Coturnix japonica: one gene and its partners. The protein of the gene in region 3 interacts with the protein of the main gene of each other region in a biochemical or structural test. Links are inferred from orthologs where the notes say so. Each region holds a gene or a part of one and is shown on either strand. Other genes may lie near its edges.

Evidence for each region. The genes of interacting proteins can lie anywhere in the genome.
Region 1: the proteins of GABARAPL1 (region 3) and TBC1D2B form a complex in vitro, tested with the Homo sapiens proteins (2 studies listed by BioGRID and IntAct). The link is inferred for Coturnix japonica from reciprocal best matches to the Homo sapiens genes GABARAPL1 and TBC1D2B.
Region 2: the proteins of GABARAPL1 (region 3) and STK3 form a complex in vitro, tested with the Homo sapiens proteins (2 studies listed by BioGRID and IntAct). The link is inferred for Coturnix japonica from reciprocal best matches to the Homo sapiens genes GABARAPL1 and STK3.

The regions. Positions count from the first base shown.
Region 1 is NC_029525.1:3,045,680-3,051,335, reverse strand, and holds part of TBC1D2B (TBC1 domain family member 2B), read right to left. Parts: intron 867-5,656; coding exon 713-866; intron 1-712. UniProt on the Homo sapiens protein: GTPase-activating protein that plays a role in the early steps of endocytosis.
Region 2 is NC_029517.1:115,653,328-115,658,983, forward strand, and holds part of STK3 (serine/threonine-protein kinase 3), read right to left. Parts: intron 1,905-5,656; coding exon 1,712-1,904; intron 1-1,711. UniProt on the Homo sapiens protein: Stress-activated, pro-apoptotic kinase which, following caspase-cleavage, enters the nucleus and induces chromatin condensation followed by internucleosomal DNA fragmentation.
Region 3 is NC_029516.1:70,388,432-70,395,703, forward strand, and holds the start of GABARAPL1 (gamma-aminobutyric acid receptor-associated protein-like 1), read right to left. Parts: upstream 4,662-7,272; 5' UTR 4,523-4,661; coding exon 4,433-4,522; intron 610-4,432; coding exon 531-609; intron 1-530. UniProt on the Homo sapiens protein: Ubiquitin-like modifier that increases cell-surface expression of kappa-type opioid receptor through facilitating anterograde intracellular trafficking of the receptor. Involved in formation of autophagosomal vacuoles.

The sequences.
Region 1 (5,656 bases), on a different chromosome or scaffold from region 3:
TGGGCAGCTATTAGATCAGCACAGGGAACAAAAGGCTGAGTTCCTCAGGCCAGCTGTGCTTGAGCAAGCAGTCACAAGCAACTGCTCTCAAATGAAAGCAGTAAATTGGGTTAGAGGACAACAGAGTCTCACGGGATCTAACATGGGAGAGCGCAGAAGGGAGGGGACAAAGGCATCTTAACCTTCTTTTGACTATTTGAGCAAACTGAAATTAATAAAACACAACCTTTGTTGAAGAAGTATGTCTGACCTCAAATCAGAATCTAAACCTCAAGGAGCTTAACTAATATGCTTAACTTGGCAAAGAACAGGATTTCTTAATGCAGTCTTATTTATTGGTAACAGATAAACAAGCCATTTGTGTAACAATCCAGGAATCAGACTATTCAGAAATGTCACAGCAGTGAAGACAAAGCACAGAACAATTCATACAGCACACTGCTACATTTTTTGTGTTTGACACCACTGTAAAATCTATTTTTAAAGAAATCAAGGGGTTTCAAAAGAGAGAGAAAATCATACATCAAATTACACTTATGCCAAGTAACTTCAGCAGCACCAACACATGCAAAGGTTAAATAGTTACTTAAGAACAAGATACAACAAAGAACTTCCTGACACTACCCCTCCACCTTTCCTCCACACTGTTTATTACCCATTAACAGATATCAAACTGAAACACACATCATTTTCACTCAGATTTCCCACCTACCGGGACTGTCTTTGGCAACAAGACCTTTGGAAAAGTCACTCGGTGTAGGAGACGTCCGACTGTCCCTTTTGGCTGCATCAAGGTTGTTACAATATTCCCACCTCTTCTGCTGAAGTTCCTGAAGCCAGTAGGTCATATCCTGACGGGTTGCAGCCTGCAGCACAGAGAAGCAGAGCAGTAATGAGATCAGTCCATCTCTGATCTCTGAATCTGCTAATTCCAAGCACAATACAGAAAGAAACATCTCTTAGCTGGTCTGCAAATTATGATTATCCCAATCAAGGATGATCTAAAGGAAATACCCACTAATGGACTCAACACACGCTGTGCACGTACCCTGACTTCCATACCAAATCCACCTTCCCATAGTAGTTGCAAGCAGGTTTTTTTTCCTCTAGTATCAGACTCAAGCATTAGCGAACACAGCAGAGTGCTACATCTCATATACAAAGCACTGTTGGTAACACAGCAGAGTGCTACATTTCACATACAAAGCACTTTCAGACACAACTACAATTCCACATCACAGAAAAAGCCCCATGCACAGAAAAATTCCTGTTCTCCTTACTTCGTTTTCTTTGCAACCAGCAGAAAGCAACAACATAAGAAGGTGCTGTGATGCCACCTACTTTTGTAACTAAACCTACTCACTGCGTTAGTTGATGGTACCATCATCACCTTCTATAGGGAGGGTGTATTAATAATACATACAAACATTTAATCTACAAGCCTACATTCACCATAATGACCAAACATCTTTAAGCTTCAGCCTGAATCACATCTGCAGGAGTCATGTCAAAATGTGTCAAATCATGGCCTACAGATACCAGTAAGAGACTCAATGATGGCAAATGGCACTGCAGGTGCCTCCTTCAAGAGTTATTTTTGTTACAAAATATACACTCAACATCCAATCTAGAACAAACACTCCACAGTGGTAATATGGCATGTTGAGGAGTACAAAGTTAACACTGTGAACAGACACTCACCTGAGTCCTCAGCCTGTAAGGGACACAGTATAGCAGGAAAACACTAGTGGTAGGCAGATGGTAGGACTGGATGGTCTTGGAGGTCTTTTCTAACCTTGGTGATCCTATGGCCCTAAGCACACACAGGGCTTAGCTTTCAGCTGGTCTTTCTCCTAACTGCTCCCCAAGGGCCTGGTAGCATTACTAATAAAAAAAACCACTGCCTGGGCAAATGGCTGTTTGAGCTTCAGACAAACTTCATTTCTAGAAGCTTCCTATTCTGTTCAATACAACTGAAAAGGACGCCTACGTAGGGCAGAGCTGCAAAAGAGTGAAGGTGCCATTTCCTCTGCACAGAAATACCTTAAGTGCTGGTTAGAAAATCAAGATAGTAATTCCTGGAGCTGATGCTGCAGATCTTCTCAGCAGATCAAAGGCACAACACAGCACAAAATACGGGAATCTGAGCAAGTAAGCACAAATATCACAAACCAAGCAGTGAAATAAACCAGTGACACAAGAGGACACTGCAGGTTCACCTCCCTCAGTTGGTATGATATAGGTGTAAGCAACACACACCTGCTCCAGGACGGAACTGCAGTCTATTTAGTCTTCCCTGCTCACAGGCACCCAGGGGGAAAAAGTATTTGCCTTAAAGAAGAGAGGGGAAAAAAACAGTTTAAATGTGTCTGTGAGGCCTGCCAGGACGTGTCAGAGAATCAGAACACTGCTCAGCCAACACACACAGACGTCATGGGCACTTCTGGAGTGACCGGCACAGTAGGACCTACACAACCCACACACCCAGCTGCACTCTGCAAAGCATACGTGCTTCCCTTCCACCTCCAGCACCAAAGGATTTCCTCTGGAGGTTTGCCCAGCAGCAAGTGTCAATTTCCAGTACAGCTGAGAACCTATACTTCCTTTAGAATTGCACACAGGCCTTGCCCACTTTACCGTGCTCGAGCTCAAGCAAACCACTGAGTCCTCAAAGAGCTTCCACTAACACAGGATGCAACACGTAGGTGGTTCTCTCCGCTACCACAACATCGCTAATGAGGCAACACAATGTATACCTACAATTAACTCCTGACCATGACTAGTTCAACCTAATGAGTCCCGCTAACATCCCGTGCCATTACCCACTTGCTAATGCTGCTTAGTAAAACCAAATTCATTTCCTTGGAGCTGCGGCTTGCTGTTGCTTTCCAATTCCCATTTACACCTGTTCTCTGTTAGACAGCAAATACAAACCCTATTAAGCGATGGCACTGACACACGGGGCTCAGCAGGCACAGTCCTGCAGTGTAAAACAGGACCACAGTGCACCCTGAGTCTCACCCTCCCTGTTTTAAGTCATCTTCTCCAGGGCTCTGTCACCCTGCTGCTGCTGCAGCCCACTTGTTGCTTGACCTTCCTTCCTCCAAATACACGGCCTTCCTTTTCTTTGTTATGGAGATTTCTGCTTCCTTTGAACACTTTTGGCTGAGTTTTATGCAGATATCTTAATTATTTACTTTACAAGTTAAAGAATTATAAGAGAATCCTCCTGTTAAGATGGCCTCCTGTTTCAATAAAATTGTCTTTAAAGATCATATTGTTTGAAATTGACAAGATATTTTTCTTTCCAAACATCAAATGGAAGGCAAGTTTCCTTCTTCCCCTCCTCCTAAACAAACAACAGGGAAACCTGCAAACACTTAAACACAGCCATTCCATAAACAATTAAACACAGCCATTTCACCTGTCAGAGAAGGGAACTCTCCCACGCCTGCCTCATTTTCATGGCTTCTCTCAGCATTTGGCTGCTGGTCACCATCTGAGACAGAACATGCAACCAAGAGCCACACCGACCAGCCCTGGCAAGGAACCTCCAGTTGTACTCAACTACTGTGTGGCTCTTCAATGAGACAGAGCCACAGCAGGCAGTGACATTTCAAGGGAGGCATCTTTTGCAGGAAGAAAACCACCATAAACAGAATATAAGGAAGGATGCAGTAAATGTCACCTCTGTACAACATAACACATCCGTATCTGCAAGATGACACCCATTAGTTTTGACAGGGCGATACCCTCACAACAGAACAGGTCCTGAAACAACGTAAAGAGAGTTCACATCTTAGAGATGTACGAGGCCTCAGACTTACAAGATTGTCATCTGAACTGGAACTGTCATCTGAACTGGGGCCTGACAAGGAACTGCTATTGCCAACTTACAGGTAGCAGCAGCAGAAGGGAAGGTAACTAAAGAGAGACACAGTTCTGGCTGTTTTTCAACAGAAATGATGGAAAATAGTTATCATTTACTTAAAACCCTCTGCTCCACATTGCATGAAGGATGCTGCAGGACCTGCCTTCTTCCAGGGCATACATAACACAAACAGCCTACAACAGGCTACTATAGCTCCTAACATCACAAACGGTGCACGAGCGCTCTGTTATTAATCACTGCCTCAAAGATCACTGACGAACTGGAGCAGAAGCTCCCACCTCGCTCTAGTTTTGATGAATTTGGTGTCTGATCCTTTCAAGGACTTGGGCTCCAAAATGCACTGCATGGAATATCAACTACTTGGCCACTAAATCTCCAGAAGGTTGCTGGTTTATCTCCTTAATTAGTCTGTGTCGTTGCCTCCAACTCACCCCTCTCCCCACAGAACTCAACCATGTGAGCAGATACAGAGCATCACCCCACATTAGTGTTTCATTGCTTCAGGAGCAAGTGAACAACATCACTGGCCACAACAGACACTACTTTACAAATGAGTTTAGGAACAAAACTTGCTTCAATCAGGCTACAGAACAAGATTGCTTTTTTGTCAGACTGCTATCAAACTGAGGAACAAACCACAAGCATATCACACTGTCCTCAGTTCCCACTAAATCACAAAGACTGAGCAATCCAGATGATGAAATCACTGCATTAACAAAAAAATGAGGCATTATGAAGAAATAATGCATTCCTGAACAGCACCATCACTGCAATCTGGAATTCTAGTTGCTTATTTCTTACTGCTCTTCTCAGCTGAGAAGACACTGAATGAGAAAGAGCAGATCATGAGATCTGGAAATTCTGAACAAGCAGCAAATTGAGGAAAATAAGGCATGTGAGTTAGAGGGCGAAGGCAACATTTCATTTGATTTTCTCCCTCGTGCTCTGTGCGCAATGTTTTCTTCATAAACGAAACCACATTTGTTTTCAACAGGGACTGGATCAGACGGTGGTTTGTTTTTCCTATCCCAAATTCATTCCTATTTCTAGCCAACTTAGCTACGGTGTATTTTTACAGGCCCTCAAGATCTACCATGCTGGGTAGAAGAAAATTACTTCCAGCCCCCAAAGCTAAGGCTTTGGATTCACCCCTGGTGAACCACACAGCTGCTGAAGGCCAGTTGGTCCCTAACATCTCTCACATTTTATCCTTGTTCCTTATTTATTATGTAAGTACTTATGATGTGATACCATTTTTAAAGGCAACCACTTGGCTCCTTCAAGGCAAGTGTTGAAACAATATAAGGGGTAGAAGAGGCAAAATTACTTCTGCATGTTACATAACTGACCTTGGCTTTTCTCAGTCTCCATAAGGGAAATGCAGAGAGCTTCAACTCACAGCAGTTCTTTCCCAAAGAGTACAGCAAGAAACCATCAAGGAAAGGAAGGGCAGAATAATGTCCCAGACTAAAAGGTACCACAAGAACAACATTAAAAAGGAAACCTCCTGTTGCTTACACTTGTGCACAACAGCTGAGGCCAATGTGAGCCCTGTGCCTGGGGCTGCTGCTGCAGCACTGCTGCACACGGGTTACTCATGGCACTATGTGCCTTCTTGGAGATTTCCATAGCAAAACAAATAACAGCAATCACACAATAGCAGCTAAAGAACAAACCAACCAACCCCTACACCAAGTCTGCTGCTTTAACTTCTGCAAGACGAACGCTCAGAGTGATGTGTGGGCTCACATAAAAGGAATAAAC
Region 2 (5,656 bases), on a different chromosome or scaffold from region 3:
TTCCTCACTGTTACAGGTACCAAGAGAGGCAGCTACAGGGGAGGAAAGGGAGAAAACCTGCTGTCTCAGAGATTACATTCTCCTGTTTCATGAGATGTAAGAATGAGTGACTACACTAATTAACCCCCAAGGTACAGAAAGGCAATCCCCCTTCTTAATAGGAATCACTACCAAAAGTGATTCAATTTGAAAATATGAACATGTTTTTGTTTTGTTTTTTTTAAGTTTTCAGCAATGTAAGAAACTAAAAGGATAAGAGATTGCAGTGCAAATGTAAGGGCATTTTTTCTTTAATTGGTTTGGCATACTAACGTACTATTCCCCCTCAGCACATAGAAAATGGCATGGATAGTTACCAAAACTTAAGTGATTTGAAAGGCTGCACAGAAACCACACAAGTCCCCTGGTCCACAATAATCCCATCATGGGAATTATTTTATTTGCTTATAATCTTTCCAAATATTCACCATCACTACTCACTTCCTTAACTTGCTGAAATGTGTTAGTCTAAGATCACTTGATCTACCCCTCCATTACCCTCACAGTTTAATAGGTAAAATACTGTGTCAGCATAAGAACAAATTAAAGCGCGCACTGTTTGCATGAGGTGAATCACCCTGCTCAAATTAAACACTAATCAACAAGTCGATTGCTTTATTGCTACAAACACTGAAGGAAAAAACAAGGCAACAACAACAACAAAATAACAAAGAGGGAAAAAAAGCAGAAGTGATCACATCTTCCTCTCCTCCCAATTTGCTGTACATTCAACAACAAGGAAAACGCACCTGATTTACACTTCCAAACAATCTTTTCAACCAAATTATAGCAGGTTTTTGCACACAAACAGAAATGCAATCTTGTTTGATATAAATCATAAAACGAATTTATTTAAACAGTTGCCTGGAGTTAAGCATTGAATTGTGCCTCATAGAATCAAGCACTAAAGCTACAGCATCACCTATAGATGCTGCCCTTTCAAATTAATGATTTAACTTAAAATCAGTGGGAAGTCTTCAGCCAAGTAACAAACAGATCAAATGTAAACACGTATGTTTGCTGTCTAACAAACACGTTATACACATCTCAGTCCAACTGACAAGTTCATCATTTGAAATCCTTTTCCCCCCCCCTTTGTTATATAATCTTTCACACCACTGAAGTTGATTTTGACTTCTTAATTTATTTCAATATGTTTTGGCCATTCCCTTAAATCATGCATTAGCAAATTAAATTTTAACAAATGCCCATGAATTTACAAAATAATTTTGCAGCAAGATCTGCAGTACTTACTGCTGAATCCACGGTGCGTTGCAATGAGTTTTCAGGAACACTAACACTGAAACAACACCTCCCCACACAACCGCACCATTTGAGTATAGCTCCTTGGAGCTGCTTCAAATGGATGCAGGACAGGAGGCAAAATGCAAGTGACAGGTAGTAGAAGGGAGAATTCACAGGAGGCTACTGTTTGAGTCCTCCAGAAAGACTCATCAAAATACTAAAGCCAAGTGTAGTACTTTGAATCTCCCACTATAGCTGCTCTTCTCCAATAAGGAACAAAGTGTGTTTATAGAAACAAACAGCCCTCTCCCTGACTTTTAACCACCGAACTTGACTTTTAAAGGACACTGATGGTAGACTATTCTCACAGAAGATGAGAAAACACAATGCATTATTAACAGAAAAGGAAAGTAAACAAAAAACATACTTTTCATGGTTCCATCTTCCTCTTCGTCATCGTCGCTATTTATTACCATGGTCCCCAGGTCTGACTCTAGCATGGTACTGTTGTGTTCAATCATTGTCTGAGCGCCTTCACTCATCGTGCTTGTGGCCCGCATGGTACTAGCACTCTCTGAATTGGTCTTCACCATGGTGTGCGAGTCCAGCTCATCTTCATCCTAAAAGAAACACTGGTCAGAATGCAGCAGAGCATTTCAGAAAACCAAGTTAAGATGCAATAATTTAGATGCTTATTCATTGTTTTTTAATCTCTTCACATGACCTAGCTATACTGCTAGACTAACAGGTTTAATACTACCAAAAGAATGTGAAAATAAAAGGCAACCTATAACGGTAAAAGAAAAAACTTCATCCTATGCCAGCTTTATAGCGCTATTGATTTACCAGAAACATGTCCCACACAATCACTTTTATACCCAGCTTTGAATATCTCACTGATCTTCTGGACTCGGTACACTTCTCCGGGACTAAAAATCAGTAACATGTTTTGTTTGGTTGTTTTGAAGCAGATCATCACACCAAGGCTATCACCCTTAACTAAATAATATGTTTTTTATCTAGTATCTTGACAACAACCTGTCTTGAGAGACCACCATGAAGAGGAGCAATCCCAAGCACAAATATAGGAGCAATCCCAAGGAGATGGATCTGGCAGTGATGGCTGATGGAAGATTTAACATGAGCTGTCAGTGTGTGCTTGCAGCCCAGAAGGCCAACCATATCCTGGGTTGCATCAAGAGAAGGGTGACCAGCAGGTCAACAGAGGTGATTCTGCCCCCCTGCTCTGCTCTTGTGAGACTCCACTTGGAGTACTGCATCCAGTTCTGGGGCACCCAACATGAGAGGAACATGGAGCTGTTGGAGCAGGTGCAGAGGAGGGCCATGAAGATGATCAGAGGCCTGGAGCACCTTGCCTAGGGAGACAGGCTGAGAGAGCTGGGGCTCTTCAGCCTGGAGAAGAGAAGGCTCTGGAGGGACATTATAGTGGCCTTCCAGCACTTGAAGGGGGCCTACAGGAAAGCTGGGGAGGGACCTATTAGAAGGCTATGTAGAGACAAGACAAGGAGAAATGGTTTTAAACAGGATGAGGGTAGAGTTTGACTAGATATTAAGAAGAAATTCTTTACTGTGAGGGTGGTGAGACTCTGGAACAGGTTGCTCAGTGAGGTGGTGAGTGCCCACTCTCTGGAAGCATTCAGGGCCAGGCTGGATGGGGCTGTGAGCAACCTGGTCTAGAGGGAGGTGTCCCTGCCTATAACAGGGTGTTGGAACTACATGATCTTAAGGGTCCATTCTAACCCATTCTGCGATTCTATGATTTTGAATCGATGTGCCAGGAATGTAAAACAGAGAAATAATGACCATCCAGTTAATGAATTATTAATTTTATATGGAATATCAATATTTGAAAATAGTGTTGGGAAATGCCATTCATTTTTGCAGTTTGATTTCAACCATGTGCACAACAGCACAGCACTTCATGAATGCATACAAGCATTTTCTACATGAGTACATTTTTAATGCTTCTCTCATTGACTAAACAAGAAATAATGCCCACCGCTGTCAAGACACTGTATGCCAAATTTCGAAATTTTACATGTAAATACTATGTTCACTGATTTTATAAGCTTCCCAATCCAACTGAAAACAGTCATGTATGTACACATTCTCTCTACTGTAAATGAACTTCAATTGCATCCTGATACAAAATATCTCTGGTTAGGAAAGTATGCTCATATCATAAAAATATCAGGTAACATTATTATGTGCCTATTACAAGTAACATGCCTGTTGTTACACAGAACATTAAAACAAGATTTTACCCGAAAACTAATTTTTCCTTTTGCTAAATATGCTTCATATTTTAACTACAGAACAACCTGTAAGGAGTGCAGAAAGAAAGAAACCCAGTTACCCAATTCTCCAGCTCTGGCCCTTTTTATTTCTCACTGAACTAGCTCTTTTCCCTTCCTGTTATTCCCTGACATGGCACACAACTTGCCTGTTGTACAAATGGAATTGCAAGGAGCAGCTACACTGTATGAGTGCCTGTTTCACAAATGGGTAGTCAAAGTAGGTATGGAGAACCATATTTAGTAAGAGTACCAATAGACCAGCTCCTACAACAAGTTCTGTTATGTCTTGGCCCAGAGACACAAAAACAGATCTCACTTGGATTCAGAATCTAGCTAACAACACAGTACGCTGAAACCAGGATACAGAGCAGATTTGAATAAACTGTCAAATACCAAAAGAATCATAGCTTCCCACATTATAATTTGTAAATATTTCAGAGTTCTTAAATTTCATTTCTAACCTGCACACTAAAACACTCTGTGTAGCACCATACCCTTAAAAACTCAAGATACTCCTAAAGACGGACAGTTTACAGATACAGCACCAGATGACTGTGTCTGTAAATAAATAGGAATATTTTAGTAGTGCTCCTCCTGGTGGCAACTTTGATTTTCCTCTTTTTTTTCTTTTTTTTTTTCCCCCCCAGTTCACACTTATCTCACTGCTTTCTATATTTTTCCCTTCCCAAATGGTTATTAGGAAGCCAAAGTATTTTCCTCTAATATTCTCTCTCTCTCTTTTTTTTGCATTGTATTTGAGAATTGTCTAAAGTATTTATTGATAAGTGTTTCTTTCAGTAATGCTGTACAATGGAAAACCAAGTGAGAACATACTGCTTTTTATCTTAATAAACAATAAAAATGAAGCATCTCCAATACAGAGAAGCAGTTGAGATTAAAACAGAGTTAACAGCTGATGTACATGTTTGCTTGACTAATATCCACACAGAAAAGTTGAAAGCAGAAAGGAAATACATTTTCCTGAAGCTTAAATTCTCTCTATATTTTTTTTTACAAGTGGGGAGAAAGAAAAAAAAAGAAGGTGGTGACCACCAATATGAACAAGTAAAAAGTGAATTAATAAGTGCCCATTTTAAGATCTTCTGGTTTATTAAAAATGCTGATTTTTTAAGTTCCTGAGCCAAATCGAGCATCTGGATTCTTTCAAGGAATAATATTTCATTTTCCAACCTAGAGTGACAAATGTCTTTGTTTTACTATTATCTTTCAGCATAGAGAACAGCTGTCACCCAGTACCTGGAAGACTGAGGATGACAAAAGCCAGCCTCAGTACCAACAGAATTGTGCCCAAAAGGGATACATACAAAAATTCTGATCTTGTTTTCTCTAAATTAGAAATGAGATACTGAAGGAGAGCAATATAAATTTCTTCAGAGCCTGTGTACATTTCAAAATAATCAATGTTGTAGATTAAACCAGGTTGCTTCCAGAATTATTCTTCCAGTATTGCTCACAAGTATGAAATTTAGCTAATACTACAGCAGATCATACTGGACCTGAAAAAGTAACAGAATACTCCTATAAAGTTATGTAAGTGTGTGTTTATATGACAGATGAAAGTGATTCCTTAGAACAAATTATGATTCATACTTTACAGTTCATAAATATTGATGTTGAATTTCTGATTTGTTATTAAAAAGGTAAACTCCTTGATTAAATAAAAACAAATACAATATTCATTTTAATTACCAAAGAATATAAAGTATTAAAGCTGAAGCATCATGTTCTCATACTGTTTATGAAAAGAGATCCAAGAATCAAGAAAGAACAGCTAACTATGACTTTAAACTATCTGCCATTCCCTTGTGCGCAACTAGTATCATTTGTATTTCCTAGAGGTTTCTGATACATGTGAGTAAGAGGGCTAACATCTCCTGAAATGCTAAAGGAATTTTAGTCAGCCGCAGCTGAGCAACATTATATCCCAAAGTTAGAACTTGATTTCAAACTAAAAGAGGAGAGACTTAGATTGCATATAAGGAAAAAGTTTTTTATTATAACGGTACTGAAGCACCAAAACAGGTTGCCCAGAG
Region 3 (7,272 bases):
GCAATGGGGGAGGGGGAGGGAAGCAAAAAAGAAAAGCTGTTCCTGTGACTTATTTATGTTCTCAAATGAAAACAAATGTAACCACACAAAAATGTCCACGAACACTCAGAAAAAAACCTCGCGGTCATGACTCCAACCACAGCGGTGGAAAACAATGAGAACGTTTCAAGAACTTGTCTTCCTGCAGCAAGGATACAGCCTGTGGCTACCTGAGCTAAGTCATCAGAGACTGATGATTTCACCACAGCCTGTGATACACAACTCAGTCATTTTCACCACAGCTAGAAATCACACTGACACATGCATATTATTTTAGTCACTGTGACACCTACGATCTCAAAGAATTCTGCATGTTGTAATCCTGACTGTGAGACAGACAGATACAATAAGTACAGCCAGGCAAACCGGGGTAGTGATAAGATGTTGAGCCTGCCTGGATTTTTCATTTTTGGTGACGATCAGATGAACAAAAGTGACTTAATAAGTCCATCTTAATGAAAATCAAGAAGAACGGAGGCAGACTTTGTTACCTGTGAGGTCAGAAGGCACAAGGTACTTCCTTTTGTCTAGATCAGGTACTCTGGCTTTTGGTGCTTTTTCCACAATTACCTGATGAGGTAGAAAGAGAAAGGCTATGGGCATCATTAAAGGAAATGAACAAAAGAAACAGAAGTTGAAGAAGACAATACCCTTTAAGAAAGCTGGTGCTACCAGGCCTTTAGAAATGTCTTTAATCCCTAAGAAATACACAATAGTAAAGAATAGATGGGTCAGAAGACAGCAAATCACTGGCAATATCTGTGCTGGGAGCTCAAGACTTTAACAGTAAGCACAATGAGTTAAAAATGGAAACTGGAATAAGCATAAAAATAAACTGTAATTGCCAAGGGGAAAAAAAAATAAATCAGGTCACCTTGATAGTCTTAAGGCAGGTTAATTTTGTATGAAGGAGCTACCAGGAGGCTACTACACAAACACAAGTCAATTGAGCTGTTTCCAAGTTACAGTTCCAAACTGCCTGACACAAAATCAGCTCCAGTCCCAGTAGTCCCACATCCTAATTTTTACATTCGCTCACAGTGATCTAGAATGAAGCAAAGAATTAAAGGAGAAGTTACAGCTTACTGAAGAAGGTTATTTTCTTCAAATTCACAGTTCTTCAGTAGTTATCTTCTACTCTGAAATTCATATCCCTTAAGGTTATTTCACAGAATGGCTTGGGTTGGAAGGGATCTTTAAGATAACCTAGTTCCAACCTCCCTGCTATAGGCAGGAACATCTCCTACTAGACCAGGTTGCTCAAAGCTCCATCTAGCCTGGCCCTAAAAGCCTCCGGGGAGGGGGCATCCACAACCTCTCTGGGCAGAATGACCTGTTCCAGTGTCTCACCACCCTCACAGTAAAGATTTTCTTCCTAACATCTAGTTTAAATCTATCCTATTCAATTTAAAACCAGCCTCCCTCATCCTGTTGTTCAACATCCTTATAAAATGCCCCTCCCCAGCTTTCCCATAGGCCCCCTTCAGGTACTGGTAGGCCACTGTAAAGGTCCCCCAAGAGCCTTTTCTTCTCCAGGCTGAAGCGACCCATATCTCTCATCCTGTCCTCACAAGAGAGGTGTTCAGGCCCTCTGATCATATGGCCCTCCTCTGGATCTGCTACAACAGTCATTATATGACATAGAAAAGCATAAGTTCAGTAGCTTTAAGGTCAAAGAGATCTTCTGCTACACACAATTTCTTTTTGTTACCAGAGCCAGGCAAAATTCCTATCTCTGAAATAGGAACTATTCCCAAGTGACATGAATATGAAAAGGCTTGGAAACCTTTCCAAAGCTTGGTGACACGTTTCCATGGAAATACTGTGTGCATGTGGAAAGAAAATGCAGCCACTGGTAGGTTTGTTTTTTTTCCTGGTATGTATTTTTGATCAAGTAGAGAGATATATTACATGATTCAATCTATGTGGCTTACTGTTCTTCAGAAACCATTTTGACCTTCCCTGAGACACTGTGAGACTAATTTCTAAGAATCATAGAATTGCTCAGGTTGGAAAAGACCCTGAAGATCATCACATCCAACCGCAGCCTAACCATAGTACCCTAACTCTAACAACCCTCTGCTAAATCATATCCCTGAGTACCACATCCAAACGGCTCTTAAACACATCCAGGGATGGCGATTCAACCACCTCCCTGGGAAGCCAAAATCAGCAGCTGTGTCAGCTGTGCAATAGTAAAGGCTGGACTGTTGTGCTTCGTGTTTCCTTCCTTCTTTGGAAGGAAAATGGTGTTGTCACATCAATGAAACAGTACACCAAAGGAAAAAGACATGATAAGCTTTGTGTATTAACTTGGCATGGCACTTTTTCCAACCAAACACTCCTCGTTCCAGATTCAAGTATCCACAAAGCATGTCACACAGTAGAGATGCTGGCTTGGATACCTGTATACTCTTCTCCATTTAGATGCCTCCAATGCAGCCAAAAGCCCTGAAAATTCTAGGTTTCTTCCTAAAACACAAACGTAGTTTGCTAGTTCAAGAACCTCAACTACTAGGCAACTGAGCTCTTTCACACTAAGTTTGTGTTAGGACATACATTTCCATACAAGATAAAATTGACAAGTGTTGTGAAGGAAAGGTAGTTGCACAACCTCACTACACAGCTTCAGACTGACCAGCAACAGTACTTTGCCTATTTTCTTACCCTGAAACGCTACATGGTAGCATCAAATAAACTGAAGTAGAAAAAAAGCCTTTAGTTTTTGCTTTCAATTTAGAAGATTGGTAAGCAGAACTGTCAGGTAGCAACAGTGACAGGACCAAGCTGACTCAAAAGGATGGCATGTAGCTTAGTCATTAGATAAAGGAAAAGAAGATAGGGGGTACCTTGATTTATGAGGACAAGGTGAGCTCTGAGGATTCTAAACCCCTAGAAAGGATTCAAATTAAATAATCAAGTTTGAGACAGATCTCCCTCTTGCAAAGAGGGAAAAATGGAGGTGTTTTCCTAGATAATCAACTGTAGTAAGTTTCCCTGATAACCCAGGCAAGGTATCTCTTCTAAAGGTTACTTTGCACAGAGAGACAAACTTACAAAGACAATCCAAAGGGCAGATATATTATCTTGATGTCTGTTGCTGCTGGGTGACTGTGGTAACAATGGACTGGGCCAGCATTATAATTTCAGCAAAATGCAGACATATCACAACAGTGAAGTGCCAGCAGCCAATGGGACATTGCTGTCAAGGATCCTACTGTCGTGAAGGGCAGTGACAGAAGTGATTAAATACGTCTGTTGCACTCTGTGCAGCTCTGACAACAAGCCTTCCCCAGCAATCCACACCAGGCCTCTCCAAGCAGTGTTTTCACTTCCCCTTAGCTGCAGCACAGCTCACTTAGTTTGATCCTGTTTTTGTCCATTACACTCTACTAAAGCCCCTCTGTCTTGGCATTTTTACTCCTTGCCAGACCAGGTCTGTTGCTGGGCTCTCCACATAGTTCTTCCAGTCACTTCTATCATGACCTGCTGCATTACCTGCCACTCTCCTGACCAGCTGAGCCTGCTGTGGCCGTCATCTCAAAAGACAGACCTGCATACACTGCATGCTCAATTACTCTCATCCTACAGGGAAAAGCTCAGGTGAAACAGTTCTTTTGCACACTGCACCTCTGGTCACCCCAATCTAGGACAGAACTCTCCAGTGTTACAAAACAAACAAAATAAACCCTAGTGTTACTATTTCTTTTTGCAATTATTGCCACAAATTATAAAGCCAGGAGTTTTCCACTGAGATTCCAGACAGTCCTAAGGACAAGAAAGGAAAGTTCAGCTCGAAAATGATCTTGTTTTCCAAATGATGCTTTTTGGGTGATTAAAGAGTAGGGAAGTAAGACTGGGAATTATTATTGAGCATCCATCTCTTTTTAACTCTCATGCAAAACACAAAGCTGAAAAGAACGGAGCTGGACTACACTGAAAAGCAAGCTCCAAAAAGAAAAAGGTATAAAATAAAAACAAAACATCTGATAACAGCGATTTAGGCCTTTTTTTTTTTCCTTACAGAGAACGCCTGTTTCACACATTCATTGTTCTCCTCCATTTTCCCAGAGCAAGTCGTAAGCTCCTTCCCCACCCTCCAGCCCCACACGCATAGGCTGCCATAATAAGATTAACAGCGTTCTTGCTGTCGAATTACTGCGGATGCCCGAAAAAGACCCCCACACCCACCCACGGACCTTGGCGTAGAACAACAAATACGGTGGCACTAAAGAGAAAGCAATCCGGAATTAATACCGACACGCCAAAGTCATCTTTCCCAATCCCGTTCCTTGCAAAAGAAGCAAAGCAGCAGACGGCAACGACAAGGACAGCAAAGAATGGCGACATTTGCACAGCCAGCCCGAGGGCAGCGCTCGTCCAGCACACTCACAGGGACTCTGTCGGGGTATTTCTTCCTGATTTTCTCCCCTTCTTTTTTCCTGTACTCGAACGGGTGGTCTTCCTTGTACTGGAACTTCATGATGCGACACAACCGAGCCGGCCACTACCGTCCCTCCGTCACCTATGACCGGGCACTCAGCAAACCCTACTACGCCCGCGCAGCGCACGCAAACCCAGCGCAGCGCAGCGCAGCCCCGCACTGTGCTGTTGCGGGACGTCACAGCGACATACCCTCCCCTTCCGGCACTGTCGGCATTGCAGCGGGGTGGGGGCACTGTCTCGTGTGTGTGTGTGTGGGGGGGGGATGTGCTGGGTCTTTGTGTTTACATTCGGTTACTGTGCTTTTCGGGTTACCTAATGGTAACAATTCTAAAAGAAAGATCAAAAAATCCACAAAAACACAGCCACCAAAATAATGTGCGTGACTCAGGGGTTACCCACGCACCACCGTCAGAGGTGTCCCCGTCCAATGAGTCTCTTCTGTACGTGGTTGTGATTGATATAGTGTGCGTGTAGTATTACGGACTGGAAAACGTGTTGTAAAGCTGTTCTGTTTTGACAAGAGACCCTCAGCAAAAGAAACGCAATAATGAAAGCTGAGACCTCCACATGAGGCCAAATTGTCTCCTTCTCTAGGTGTCAAGGATTTCCCCTCTATCCTTCTACAACCCAGTATATATTATTAAAAAGAAGTTAACACCCCGGTATATATCACTAAAAGACAGGTTGCCAAACTTATCTCTATCCAAGGATGAGCAGATGTCCAGAAATAATGGCCAAGTGCTGAGTGAGCAAATGTTACAATTTTAGTACCTATAAATTACTTACAATATGCGTTATCGAGCATGCATCAGTGAAGAAAGTTCATCTAGAGGACAAGTGAGGAAGACCACTGGATGAAGTAAAAGACTGTCAATTGGACTGCCATGATGCTAAAAGGACACTAGACAGTAGAAGAGACCATGGAATAGAAGACTGGAAATCTCATCCATCTCTACCTGTGTTAAGTGTGTGTAAGTTAGTTGTCTCAAGTATAATTGATGAGTATGTACTATCTGTGGAAATATAATGGATGGGGAATCATGTAATCTTGGAAGCACTTATGGTGGAAGACGAAAGATGGATGCTCCATTGCAATGCTCTGTAAGGGCATCGTGACAAAATAGTAAGTAATAAAAATAATATCAGGAGAACAGGATCAGGAAGAAGCCCTGGTCCTTTTCTAGAAATACTCATACACATCTTTTAGACTGCTCCAAGAAATTCGTACTTCAGACATTAATGGTTTCTTTATCCCTATATGCTTATACACATAAGTCTTGCCTGAAGGGAAGGAGTTATCCCAACACTGGGAAGGACCTACTGCAAATCCCCACAGCAGATTTAGGGTGCTAGTTTGTGCTCTCTGCCCTGGAGAGAGCTGTTTATCATATATTGCCCACCACCCACCTTTACACTCTATAGCCCACTGCTTCTTGAATTCAGAGGTAATGCTCTCTCCAAGCCGTGGTGACTGTGATCTCTCATCATGCATGAAGGAGAGATATGGAGGAAGTATATTCACTTAGAAGCAGATATGGTCTGACACTGGCAGGTGATCTTGCCCAGTGAAAACAAACGGGCATGAGACAGAAATCTCAACTACACTTACAAATCAGGTATTTGTACTAGAGCCTGTCACCTTAAAATGCCTTCATAGTGTAAGGTATAAACAGGCATGTTGGATGTGATTTTTCTCACCTGAATAATGGCATCTATTTTTGGAGGGCTAAAATGTGTCCAGGTGTGTCCCCCCACTCTACCTCCAATCCCCCAACAGCCCACCCCCTCCCAGAGAACTCTGGCAGATGTTTTAGTGCTTAAGTAGTTACATCTCCACATGATGCTGTGACCTCCAAGTATATGCCAGATTCTCCTAAGGGTACAGCAACCCACGGTGGGAATGGCATGGATCAGTGTGTCCCAGCCTTCAGTATTTCACATACACGAGGTTAGTACAGGAAGCATCACTGACTTGTTTCTCTCTTTCTCTCTGTCATTAGACATTGGAGCATTTCCCCATAGTTGCTGGTAGTGTCAGAGGATCTCAGAAGGGTGACTCAGTAAGCGAGGCACTGATTTTGTTCAGGCCAGGCGAAAAGGCTGCCTTCATGTCGTAGTGCTTCTCTGTAACACCTACATTTGGCCTCCTTTTTGCTTCCTAGTTGCCTGCCACATAGCAGTTGCTAAATCCCCACATCTGTAGAGACGTAGTGATGCGTTCCTCAAGGACAAAGGAGAGGAGGCAACTGTATACGAGATAACATCTAGCTTGAAATTCTGTAACAAATCAGAGAGTCTTGGTGTTTTCCTCTCCTCTGATGCCAAGACACGACCCACTTCTCCTCCCCACAACAAATCCCACGTGACGATCGCAAATCCCATTGCTGAACTCCAGCCCGCTGACTCAGCCCGGACGCGCCCCGACAAGGTCGTTCCTCCCCCTTCCCGTTCCTCCCATTCGGGGCTGAGTTCGGCTCCGTCTCCTACAGCTCAGTTAAAAAACAACCGCGGTTCTGGCTCCTCGGTGGGCCGGAAGATGATCCATGCGGCAGCAGTGACAAACAACTAAACATCTGACTTATAGTTCTTATTAAAATGTCAACCCATGGGCATGTGACAAACCCCACATTAAGGATCCGCGTGCTGGAGAGAGGAGCTGGAAACTGGATTGGTTGTTTTTCTTTCTCTGAACAAAAGGCACAGGCACAACGTAGTTCATAAGAATTACAGCCACTGCCATTGAACCAGACTGGTGTGTCAGTTTCACAGGCACAACGTCAAATATCC